2 linked regions of the Sus scrofa genome follow. The protein of the gene in region 1 interacts with the protein of each later gene in a pairwise test. Links are inferred from orthologs where the notes say so. Each region holds a gene or a part of one and is shown in the gene's direction. Other genes may lie near its edges.

Region 1 (5,153 bases):
TCATCCTAGAAGTTTCCTTGCAGGTGATTGTCAGATTTGCAGAGAAATTTAAAGTCTAACCACAATGTCTGCTAAGTGTCAGAAGCATTTTATTGAGGTAAATTGGGCTTACTGTGCCTCATATAATTTGGTGAAAGCACCCGTAGTTTTCCTAATTGTGCAGATGATGCCAACATCTAAATGATTCCATTATACAGAGAGCTGTTTTGGAAACCGCTCTTCAGGAAGAGGCTTTCCTAATGGATTCAGAAGTAGGGGGTTAAGTCAGTGAAATGAAACAACAAATTAGTTGTAACCACCTGAAATGAGCAAACTTAAAGTGATGTAATTTCATTTTCAGAAAGCTGCCACTTAGTAGGACATGACTTTGGGAAAGCAACTTTTTTTTTTTTTTTTTGGCTGTGCCCTCCTGTGTATGGAAGTTCCCGGGCCAGGCCAAGGATTGAACCCACACGACAGCAGCAACCAAAGCCACTGCAGTGACAATGCCTTAACTCGATGCACCACAAGAGAATTTGGAAAGCAACCGTTCTGAGCTCACTTTCTTTTTACTGTAAAATGGATCTAATTATCCTTATTTTATGAGGTTCTATACGGGTTATTATGTACATAAAGAATAGCCCAGTGCTTAGAGTTGGAAGGTGACCATTAAGTGATAATTTTTCCCCCGTAATTTCTGGCTTTGGTATCAAAACTGCAGAGTTTTTTTTAAAGACTAACTTGTTTAAGATAGTGATTTGTGGAAGTTCCCATTGTGGCTCAGTGGTAATGAGTCCAACTAGTATCCATGTGGACGCTGGTTCGATCCCTGGCCTCATTCAGTGGGTTTTGGATCCAGTGTTGCTGTGAGCTGTGGTATAGGTCACAGATGCAGCTCGGATTCCACATTGCTGTGGCTGTGGCCTAGGCCAGTGGCTGCAGCTCTGATTCGACCCCTAGCCTGGGAACCTCCGTATGCCATGACTGTGGTCCTGAAAAGCCAAAAAAACCATAGTGATTTATAAGAGCTCTTTTACATGCTTGGTGCCTTAGAAGAATTTAACTCTCTAGGAGCCACGAAAATATGGAGATTAGTAAAATAATCCCTTTAAATGTTGCTCATATGTAGGCTGCAGAGACTGCAAATCTGGAAGAGCAGCTGCAGGGATGGGGAGAAGTGATGCTGATGGCAGATAAAGTCCTCCGATGGGAAAGAGCCTGGTTTCCACCTGCCATCATGGGCGTGGTTTCTTTGGTGTTTCTGTAAGTGAGATATTAAATTACTGTGGATTGTGCTTGTTACTAATAAAGACTCCAGTTCCATTTATGCAAGTGCCTGAAGTCTTTTGTAATGTATAATCTGTGAAGAATGCCTTTTCTTAGAACCGCAGGCCTGGTTTCCAGAATTTGTAGTACTTTTGTAAGCTCCGTAACCCAATGCAGTGAAATAAATCTAGGTCCTGCTGTACAGCACAGGGAACTATATCCAATCACTTGTGATGGAACATGACAGAAGATAACATGAGGAAAAGAATGTTTTGTATGTATATATGCCTGGGTCACTTTGTTGCACAGCAGAAATTGACGGAACATTGCAAATCAACTATACTTTGAGTAAAAATTTTTTTGAGGGAGTTCCCATTGTGGTGCAGTGGAAATGAATCCAACTAGGAACCATGAGGTTGCAGGTTCGATCCCAGGCCTCACTCAGTGGATTGAGAATCCGGCATTGCCATGAGCTGTGGTGTAGGTCACAGATGCAGCTCGGATCTGGCGTGGCTGTGGCTGTGGTGTAGCCCAGCGGCTACAGCTCCGATTAGATAGACCCCTAGCCTTGGACCTTCCATATGCCATGGGTGTGGCCCTAAAAGGACAAAAGACAACAACAACAACAAAATTTTTTTTTAAATCTATGGCTTAAACTTTGGGCCTTAAGAGCCTTTATGCTCCTAAAAAGTATTGAGTACCCCGAAAAGCTTTTGTCTCTTGATGTTTACATGAACCCTTGCAGCTCTGATGTCATCATGTCATGAAGCTTCCGGAAAACCACTTGTGAGAAAATTAGAATGGAAAGGGCAGATAATCTCTTTGAGAAGCAGAGGTCTGGATGAATAAACATCTTCAGCTAGGAATAATATGTTTTTATAACCTTTCTTTTTTTTTTTTTTTTTAAACAGGACTATCTACTATCTAGATCCATCTGTTCTGTCCGGTGTTTCCTGTTTTGTGATGTTTTTGTGCTTGGCTGACTACCTGGTTCCCATTCTAGCACCTAGAATTTTTGGCTCCAATAAATGGTAGGTGGAACAATGACTTGGCAGTCAAGTTTCTGAGAAGTTACTGAACCTGGTATCTGTGACTAGTATGCTGTAATTAAGCCCAGAGAATTGTCTTCACCGCCAGATACTGGGGGGTAGATTTATTGCTTGAAGTGAGGCTTTTTTAGGTAATGTTTTATCTAGGATTGCAAAACTCATCATGAGCTTTCCATAAAAGTAGTATGTCTACTTTTAGATTTTTTTCCGTTGATATTTAAGATAATATTAATTTTACAAATTACTTTTGAATAAATATGAGAACAGTAATATAGTTTTTTGGAGGTTTTTTTTTTTTGTCCCCCCCCCCCCCGGCCTATTCATTTAGCATCTATTTATTGAATATCTACTTTTATGTTAAGACACACTAACTGCCCTGGGTGCTGTGAAATAGTTTGAGTTTTAGGATCCTTTGTTTCAGGTTGACACAGTGCAGTGGTGGATGGCAAAATACACGCTAAGTGCTTTAGAATAGATTCAGGCTATATATACAAGTGGGTTATTGCTTTCATCTCTGCTCTTCTTTGAAATGGTTACTTATGAGTTCCCAAGATAAAGTTAAATGGCTGCAGATCCTATTATTTTTACCTTCCCTCTAGAAGGTTGCATTTCTCATTTTTGATCCTAATAGTGAACAAAACTAGATACTAGATTTTTTTTCCTGCTAGCTGCTTCTCTACCTTGGGTGTTTATTTTAATGTGATTAGTAGTCTACTTAGGCCTTTAGTTATTTTGTTCCCCTGATAATAGTGAATTATAAAATAATTCTGTAAAAACAACAATTTTAAACAGTAGGGTTTGCTTAAGTTATGGGATAATTAAGCATGTTTATTAAGATATTTCTGCCGCAGCAGAATGGATTAGTGTTAGGAAATGTCCTTTGAATTGTTTTTCTTGTGCAGTAATGAATTATGCCCCTGTTTGGGGGCACGCTTGTAACTATGTCATGTAACAACTTAACAGAATCAACCTCAGACCTTGACTTTGTTAGCAGGTGACATTCTAATCTGCTAGTTCACTGAACTCCTGGAGAAAAGTTTTCAGCAGTAAACCTTTGAGGTTTCAGTGTGTGGCTCAGTCTTACCCACAGAGCAGTTTTAGTTTTTTGGCTTTTATGAGGAAGGAAGAACACAGTTACCTAGCCACAGTCTAGCCTTAACCAGGAACAGCATATGAGGTCTAATTATTTACAGGAAGTTGCAGAGCTTAGCGGAAACCCTTCTACAGTGTGTCCCTGTAGGCTCACAAGGATGAGGACTAGAAATCAAAAGCAAAACACCCGCAGTATATAGAGCTTGCTTTACAATAGCAGCCATTCTGTCTGTCTAGCAGAGACACTACCAAGGCAATTTTTTTTTTTATCAAAACCCAAAATAAATTATGAATTAAAAAGGATTTTTCTTGGAAGATCTTTTTGTGTTCTTACTGAAGTTTTGCTTATGATTCTGTTTTCCCTTCATGAGAACTCAATTTATAGGTGTTACCGTCGTGGCTCTGCAGTTAATGAGCCCGACTAGCATCCATGAGGATGCGGATTCGATCTGATCCCCTGCCTCGCCCAGTGAGTTAAGGATCCGGTGTTGCCATGAGCTGTGGCGTAGGTCCCAGATGCAGCTTGGATCCTGAGTTGCTGTGGCTGTGGTATAGGCCCACGGCTTCAGCTCTCTGATTAGACCCCTAGCCTGGGTGTGACCCTAAAAGAGATGAAAAGATTAAAAGAAAAAAAAATTTTAAAAAAGGAACTAAATTTATAAAGAATTTGGATTTGAGCTGTTTGTTGCTGCCTTGGCATCAAATGGGTGAAGCCCATTTGAGGGTATTGTGCCTTGAATGCTGGTAGTTCTTACCTTACTGAAGAAGAGTGCTTACATACAGCGGTTTGGTAGAAAGGTCTCCTCCTTATCAAAGTGGTGGGCCTCAGATGGGCTATAGCCCAGGATTCATTGGGATCCGCAGAATACTACAGGATTAGGGAAATTCATTCATATTGATTACTGCATGGCTCGTAGCAGTCATGAATCTTTCGTTTCTATCATTGACCAAATACTGTTTTAGAACCACATATAACCATTGCTTTGTACACACACACACACGTCTTTATGTTAAAAGTTAATTCCTATGTGATAAAAAGAGACTTAACTGGTACAAGAAATTTTTCTATAAGAAAATGGTGAACCACTATTGTTTTTTATTTAGATTTTCTTTAGACAAATAGCTTTGTAAATTTGAGAGGATGGTGTATCTGTTTACTATTAAGATTTGCTTATAGTAAAGGCTAAAGTTCTTTTTCTAGGACCACTGAGCAACAGCAAAGATTCCATGAAATTTGCAGCAATCTGGTAAAAACTCGACGCAGAGCTGTGGGCTGGTGGAAACGCCTCTTTACACTAAAGGAAGAAAAGCCTAAAATGGTACTTTTTTGGTTTTGACTTAAGTAAAGCAATATTTTGAGATTCAGCGCATTTTTACTTCATTGTAGTCTAAAGCCTTCTTGCTTTACTCTAGTTACAGTTTGATGTTTGTCAAACTATATCTGGAGTTCTCTTGTGGCTCAGTGGGTTGAGGATCCAGTGTTGTCACTGCAGTGGCTTGGATTACTGCTGTGGCGCGGGTTCGATCCCTAGCCCAGGAACTTGCACATGCCACAGGCATGACCAAAAACAAAACAAAAAACCCCTATATCTGTTGGTTTAACTCCTCTGAGTGCCTTCATAAATATTTATCTATATTAGACTAGAAGTTAAAATTACATTTCCCAGTTAATTTTTTATTCTAGTAATAAAGTGAACTTTTTAAATTTATAAATAGATGTGAAAGACATATGCTTAAAAAGCGTTTGTTCTCTGGAGGTCCCTTAGT
Region 2 (6,356 bases), on another chromosome or scaffold:
GCCCTAAAAAAGACAATAAAAAAAGCCATCTAGTCTTTCTGGAAGGGCTAATGGGAAGAACTCTAAGAACTTCTTGGAGGGTGGCAGTGAGATCAGGGCAAGATCAGCATGTGTAATTTTCTCCATAAGGAACCAACTTCCCTGTGTCTCCCCTTTGGAGTGTGTAGGCCTCCAGATTATCTGATCCCGGTACCTTTTAAGTTTTTAGAAAAAGGGGTTCTTAGGAGGTCAAGCAGATGAGCCGACAGGAAATCAGGACTCATGCTGGGCTAGTTTTCCCTTAATCCTCGCTTCTCAGATGTACGTCCCTGGGAAGTTGCATGATGTGGAACATGTGCTCATCGATGTGGGAACTGGCTACTATGTAGAGAAGGTGAGTGGAAGGAAGCGTATGGATGCCCCGCTGAGGAGGCAGAGGGAGTTTAGGGAGAGATCCAGAGTGCACAAAGAGGTCTCCTCTTAGCCCCTCCTTCACCTCTGACCTTCCAGACAGCTGAAGATGCCAAGGACTTCTTCAAGAGGAAGATAGACTTCCTCACCAAGCAAATGGAGAAAATCCAGCCAGCTCTGCAGGAGAAGCATGCCATGAAACAGGGTAAGCTTGGCCTTGGGCACCTCTTCACCATTTCTACCTCCATAATAATCAAGAACATGAATTGCAGCGTGAACCATGGCGGGTGTCCCCTTTGTTGGATTAAAACCATGGTTTTCTCTTTGGTGTCTTGATGTATTATTCTTTAGATGCTGTGCATCACATATCCGCTATTTCTAGATTCCTGGGTTCAGTGCTTGAGAAATTTAGAGAAAGGAAATCCCATCTGTGTTTTTGTGTTTGAGATCCTATTTAATGTAGATGGAATAGGGAAAAAGATGCATGTAAATGAACACACAGGAAAGAAATAAAGCCCTAACTAGCTATCTACTGGCAAGTAAAGCTTTGGCTGTACCTGGAGAATTTAAAAAGAAAACCTGGGCCTACTCCAAATCAGCTGCAGTTGACCCTTGAACAGAGTTGGGCTTTGGGCACCAGCGCTTCAAGAAGTAGAAGAAATTCAGTTCTGCGTTTGCCACTCAGGGATCATGTAGTGCTATAGTATTTACTATTGAAAAAAACCCATGTGTAAGTAGACCAGCACAGTTCAAACCCATGTTGTTCAAGGGTCAACTGTAAATCCATCTGTGGGCGTGGGGGCGTGTTCCAGGAAGCAATGATTTTTTTTTTTTTTCTTTTTTCTTTTTTAGGGCCGCATTCGAGGTATATGGACGTTTGCAGGCTAGGGGCTGATCAGAGCTGCAGCTGCCGGCTTACACCACAGCCACAGCAATTCAGGATCTGTGCCTCATCTGTGTCCTACATCACAGCTCACAGCAACGCCAGATCCACCACCCACTGATTAAGGCCAGGGATCAAACCCACATCCTTGTAGATACCAGTCAGATTCACTTCTGCTGTGCCACAACAGGAACTCCAGCAATGCTTTTTAAAAAGTTCCCCAGGTGATTCTATTGTATAGTCAGGATTGAGAATCACTGTTATAAAGGCAGAAATCTTTTCAATGTTATAATTTTCTGGTTATATGTGACTCTTTATATGTATTTTTTCATTTTTCATTTGTATTCTTTTTTTTTTGTCTCTGAGCCTTTTCTAGGGCTGCTCCTGCGGCATATGGAGGTTCCCAGGCTAGGGGTCGAATCGGAGCTGTAGCCACTAGCCTACACCAGAGCCACAACAACGCGAGATCTGAGCCGTGTCTGCAACGTACACTACAGCTCACGGCCACGCCAAATCCTTAACCCACTGAGCAAGGGCAGGGATTGAACCTGCAACCTCATGGTTCCTGGTCAGATTCGTCAACCACTGCGCCATGACGGGAACTCCTGTGTTTGTTCATTTTTATATCCCAGTTGTTATCATCTTTACTGACACATCTTAGACTCTATAAATTTGTGTTATGTGTGTCCTCCACAGCGGCTCACTGAGTTAAAGGTTTTATTAACTATGGTATGTTGTCTGCCTGTCACTTTTCCTGAACTTTGGGTTCTCCCCTTTAGCTTCTGACCAAGATCTGACTTTTTCCCGACAGCTGTCATGGAGATGATGAGCCAGAAGATTCAGCAGCTCACAGCCCTGGGAGCAGCTCAGGCAACTGCCAAAGCCTGAGAGCTTGTTTCAGAAATGGCATGGGGGTTCCTGCTTCAGGAGCCTTGGACTTTCTGAGCGTGGTTTCCTAGAATGGGGGAGGAGGAGGGTCTTGTGTATTAACTAATAAATGTGCCAGCTGGGCAGAGTGTTGGTCTTTTCTTGCCTTAAGCACAAGACGAGTGATGAGGTGGGAGGGCGGTGGTGAGAGGGCGCGTCCCTTCCCAGTGCCTGATAAGCAGGTGTGATGCAGTGCTCATCTTGGCGGCTTCACCCTGGGCCCTTGGAAGAGCAGGTATGGGAATGCAGCTCCCACACTTCCGGGCAAGGCTGGTTGCTGTGGGAACGGTGGCAAGCGGAAGTAAGGCGGTGCCAGCACTTCCCCTTCCGGTTCAGCGCCCTCCTTCTGGGTAAGCTGCATGGGACACCGCTTCCTGCGCGGTCTCCTACCTCTGCTGCTCCCGCTGCCGCCGGTGCCAACCCTTTGGGGTCCGCATCGCACGCTCAGCCTGGAGTTCGTCTTGCCCTCCAAAAGGCCCCGCAGCCACCTCATGGCTCCGCCCCGAATCGGGACACACAATGGCACCTTCCACTGCGACGAGGCGCTGGCCTGCGCGTTGCTGCGCCTCCTGCCCGAGTACCGGGTACGATTCACCCAAACTGACCTGGGGGCAGCTGGCGAGTCTTGGGGCGGTGCACGTCCTCCTCCTTGAGGGGTCCCTGTGGTAGTTCGCGTGGCCTGAGTTCCCCTTCTCTCCTCCCTGGTTCCCTGGAAGCCCAACGTTAACCCTCTACCCGTGCGACCTTAGCAGCCCCCTCACCACTTCTGTCCCCTGCAGGATGCAGAGATTGTGCGGACCCGGGACCCCGAGAAACTGGCTTCTTGTGACATCGTGGTAGACGTGGGTGGAGAGTACGACCCTCAGAGACACCGATATGACCATCACCAGAGGTAGGTTCCCACATACCATTTCTTCAACTTCCTTGATGTCAACTTTACTCAGCGCTCCAGTCCACCATCGTCCGTGTCAGCGAAGGGAAGCGCCTCGCCCTGGAAAGCAAACTGAATTCTATGGGACTAGCGTCTTCCATCCTTTCCCGCTGCCCGGCGCTCATATCTGGTCTTAGGCCTCTGGTGGCCCCCGTCAGTCCCCAGGCCCCTCTTGACTCACGTCCCAGTTTGGCGCAGTCAGGCTTTTCTTCTACCCGGACCGTCATCACCCCACTGAATACTCCACCCAGGATTAATCCTTTCAGGTGCCCTTGCTGCCCCACCTTAGACTGCTGGGCTGTGTTGTCTTCCACTGAGAACTCTTCTTGTAGCCCTTTATCCATAGTACCATTCCAGTCCTTTTCCCATCCTCAAGTCCCTGCCTCATCAGACTCCCTCAGTGAGGAATTTCCTTTCCTTTCAAAGGAAATTGAGCTTTTCCTGCGTGCACATCCTCACTTTCTCACTCCTGAACATGTCAGCTCCCTCCTTCCAATTCAGGAAACATTTCCTTCTGTTTGCCCTCGTCCAATGTGTCACTTTCTGCTCTGGGACCTCACATCACAATTCTCCCGCCAGGTTTCTACCTTTTTTTTTTTTTTTTTTTTTTTTTTTTGTCTTTTTGCCATTTCTTGGGCCGATCCCATGGCATATGGAGGTTCCCAGGCTAGGGGTCGAATCGGAGCTGTAGCCACTGGCCTATGCCAGAGCCACAGCAACGTGGGATCCGATCCGCATCTGCAACCTACACCACAGCTCACGGCAACGCCGGATCCTTAACCCACCTAGCAAGGCCAGGGATGGAACCTGCGTCCTCATGGATTGGGTTCATTAACCACTGAGCCACAACGGAAACTCCAGGTTTCTACTTCTTGCCTACAGCAAGAAACTCTGCTTGAGCCTCTCACATCTTGAAAACAAAGGAGTGAAAAGACCCCAAAACTTTCCCTCACATACACCACAGAGTTTAAAGCAGTTGTCTCTGAGGGTTCATGAAGAGGTTTTAAGTTTATTTCTCTCCCCCTGCCTCTTTCCCTCCCTCCCTCTCTCTCTCCTTTTTGTTTAAGTATATGCGTTACTTTCATAAATGATGTTAGAGGAATGCTCCCCGTACTTAGAGCCTAACCTCTCACCCTCACTTCTCAGCCACTTTTCAACAAAAGAGCTGACCTGGCTCCACATCCCTTCCAGTTCATTCCATTCATCCATCCATTCAGTCATTCATTCAGCCAACTCTCTCCCAGTCTCTCTACTAGAAATGCTTGTGGAAAGGGCACAGTGACCTCAATACCAAACTCAGGTTGCTGGCTGAGGGTCTCACCTTAACTGACTTCTTTATGGCACTTGACACTATTGACAGCTTTCTTTTTTCTAATTATTGTATACACCTTTTTTTTAAAAAAAGCTATGCAGTAGTTGACACATAAATCACTATATGTAACATTTCTGGAATATAAAACATAAATACCCGTGCACTGATCTCCCAGCCTAGGAACGAGAACATTACTATTACCTTTGTATCTACACTGGGCACCGCTTCCCGTCCGCATCCCCCCACATCCCCCAGGAATGAGCGGCATCCTGAATTTTGTGTTCATCATATCCTTGTTCTTGTGTACAGTGTAGCACCTATGTTTGTTTCCATCAACTGTTTAGTTTTCCTTCTGTCTGAATCTTTGTTTTGTTTTGGTTTTTGGGGTTTTTTTGGCTGCCCTGCAGCATATGGAGTTCCTGGGCCAGGAATCAGATCCTAGCTGCAGCCACATGCCTGGTGATCGAACCTGTGTCCAAAGACGCAGCCAATCCCTCTGGAGGGTTATTGTTATTAGTCTTTATACCTTATGAATATTTTATAAATATTTTTGTATTTACTCAATATTTAATAATAATCATTAGAATGGCCAGTAAGGGAAAAAAAAATCATTAGAAAAAAAAAAATGAACTCCCTTGATCCTTCGTATGGATTGGTATTTAGAAATTGCAGCTGTAGTTTCTTCTGCTCTAACAGCTGTCATACCTGTCCCCCATGCTCTGTCCTTGCATCTCCTTGCATCTCATCTCCATGCTAGCTGGCACAGTGCTCTTTCTGACACACACTGGCCTGCTTACACTCTTTTGATGGCTCCCCTTTACCCACAGATAAGAGCCAAACTTCATCTGCAGCATACAAAGCCTGCCGTGGTCCAGACCCTGCTTCTCCATCCAGCTTTGTCATTTGCTGCTCACTCCTCAAGCCAAGCTCCTTTCTTGCAGTTCTGTCAAGAGATCTGTCCCTTAGCCATTGTACATGTAGTTCTCTCTACCTGGAATGCCTTTTCTCCTTCTCACCCTTTGTCTGTCTGGCTCACACCCACTAATTCAACTTTCAGGAGTGACCCGAAGGCTCTCCTCCTGAACCCTTTCCTCACCCTCCCCCTTTCCTTATTTATAACTGGCTAAAGCATTCACGTCACTGTGTGGGTGGGTGGGTGGGTGTGCGTGTCGGCCTTAGGTGAATGAACTTGAAGGCAGGGACAGGGTCTTAGTTTTTTCATCTCTAATATCTACAACACAAAGCCTGACATGTGGTAACCACTGCGTTAACCATGGTCGAATGAATGCATGAATGGAGACTCCAAGTTCAAGTCCACGTTGACCCCTGAGGTCAAGCCAAAGCTTCCCCAGCTGGGCCTTCTTCCATCTCCCTCAGTATTCCCCCACCCCCCGACCCCCGCGCGCACACACTGGGAGTGAACTGGGGCAGCTCTGCCTCAGCCCCACCTCCCTGTGCTCCTCAGGTCTTTCACAGAGACCATGAGCTCCCTGTCCCCTGGGAAGCCGTGGCAGACCAAGCTGAGCAGTGCGGGACTCATCTATCTGCACTTCGGGCACAAGCTGCTGGCCCAGTTGCTGGGCACTAGCGAAGAGGACAGCGTGGTGGGCATCCTCTATGACAAGGTGGGGACCTGAGGACAAGAGATGCCCTGCACAAGCATCTCCACCAGGCCGGTTAGAGTGGCACTTGAAACTGGGCTCAGGTTAGGGTTCCTGACCCTTGCTGGCCCTCTGCCCTCTCCCTCAGTCAGGCTCATCTTCTCACAGGGGTCTTACTCTCCCCTGCCTCCATCTGAGGTGGCAGTGAGAAGTACATGAGCTAAAGTATGGGGAAAGGCTTTGAAACACCATAAAGCATGACTGATGCACAAAAAATGATTATTTAACAACTTAGTAATTGAGAAGGCTGCT

The links.
Region 2: the proteins of ARL6IP1 (region 1) and C5H12orf10 interact in binary tests that used the Homo sapiens proteins (3 or more experiments, as listed by UniProt). The two-hybrid records come from large-scale screens. The link is inferred for Sus scrofa from reciprocal best matches to the Homo sapiens genes ARL6IP1 and MYG1.

The regions. Positions count from the first base shown.
Region 1 is NC_010445.4:26,762,426-26,767,578, forward strand, and holds part of ARL6IP1 (ADP-ribosylation factor-like protein 6-interacting protein 1), read left to right. Parts: intron 1-1,108; coding exon 1,109-1,242; intron 1,243-2,156; coding exon 2,157-2,276; intron 2,277-4,575; coding exon of another isoform or gene 4,576-4,587; coding exon 4,588-4,705; intron 4,706-5,153. UniProt on the Homo sapiens protein: Positively regulates SLC1A1/EAAC1-mediated glutamate transport by increasing its affinity for glutamate in a PKC activity-dependent manner.
Region 2 is NC_010447.5:18,514,641-18,520,996, forward strand, and holds the start of C5H12orf10 (UPF0160 protein MYG1, mitochondrial), read left to right. Parts: upstream 1-2,306; 5' UTR 2,307-2,559; coding exon 2,560-2,784; intron 2,785-2,979; coding exon 2,980-3,092; intron 3,093-5,908; coding exon 5,909-6,068; intron 6,069-6,356. Other genes in the region: PFDN5 (prefoldin subunit 5), read left to right, coding at 299-373, 490-595, 2,085-2,161. UniProt on the Homo sapiens protein: 3'-5' RNA exonuclease which cleaves in situ on specific transcripts in both nucleus and mitochondrion. Involved in regulating spatially segregated organellar RNA processing, acts as a coordinator of nucleo-mitochondrial crosstalk.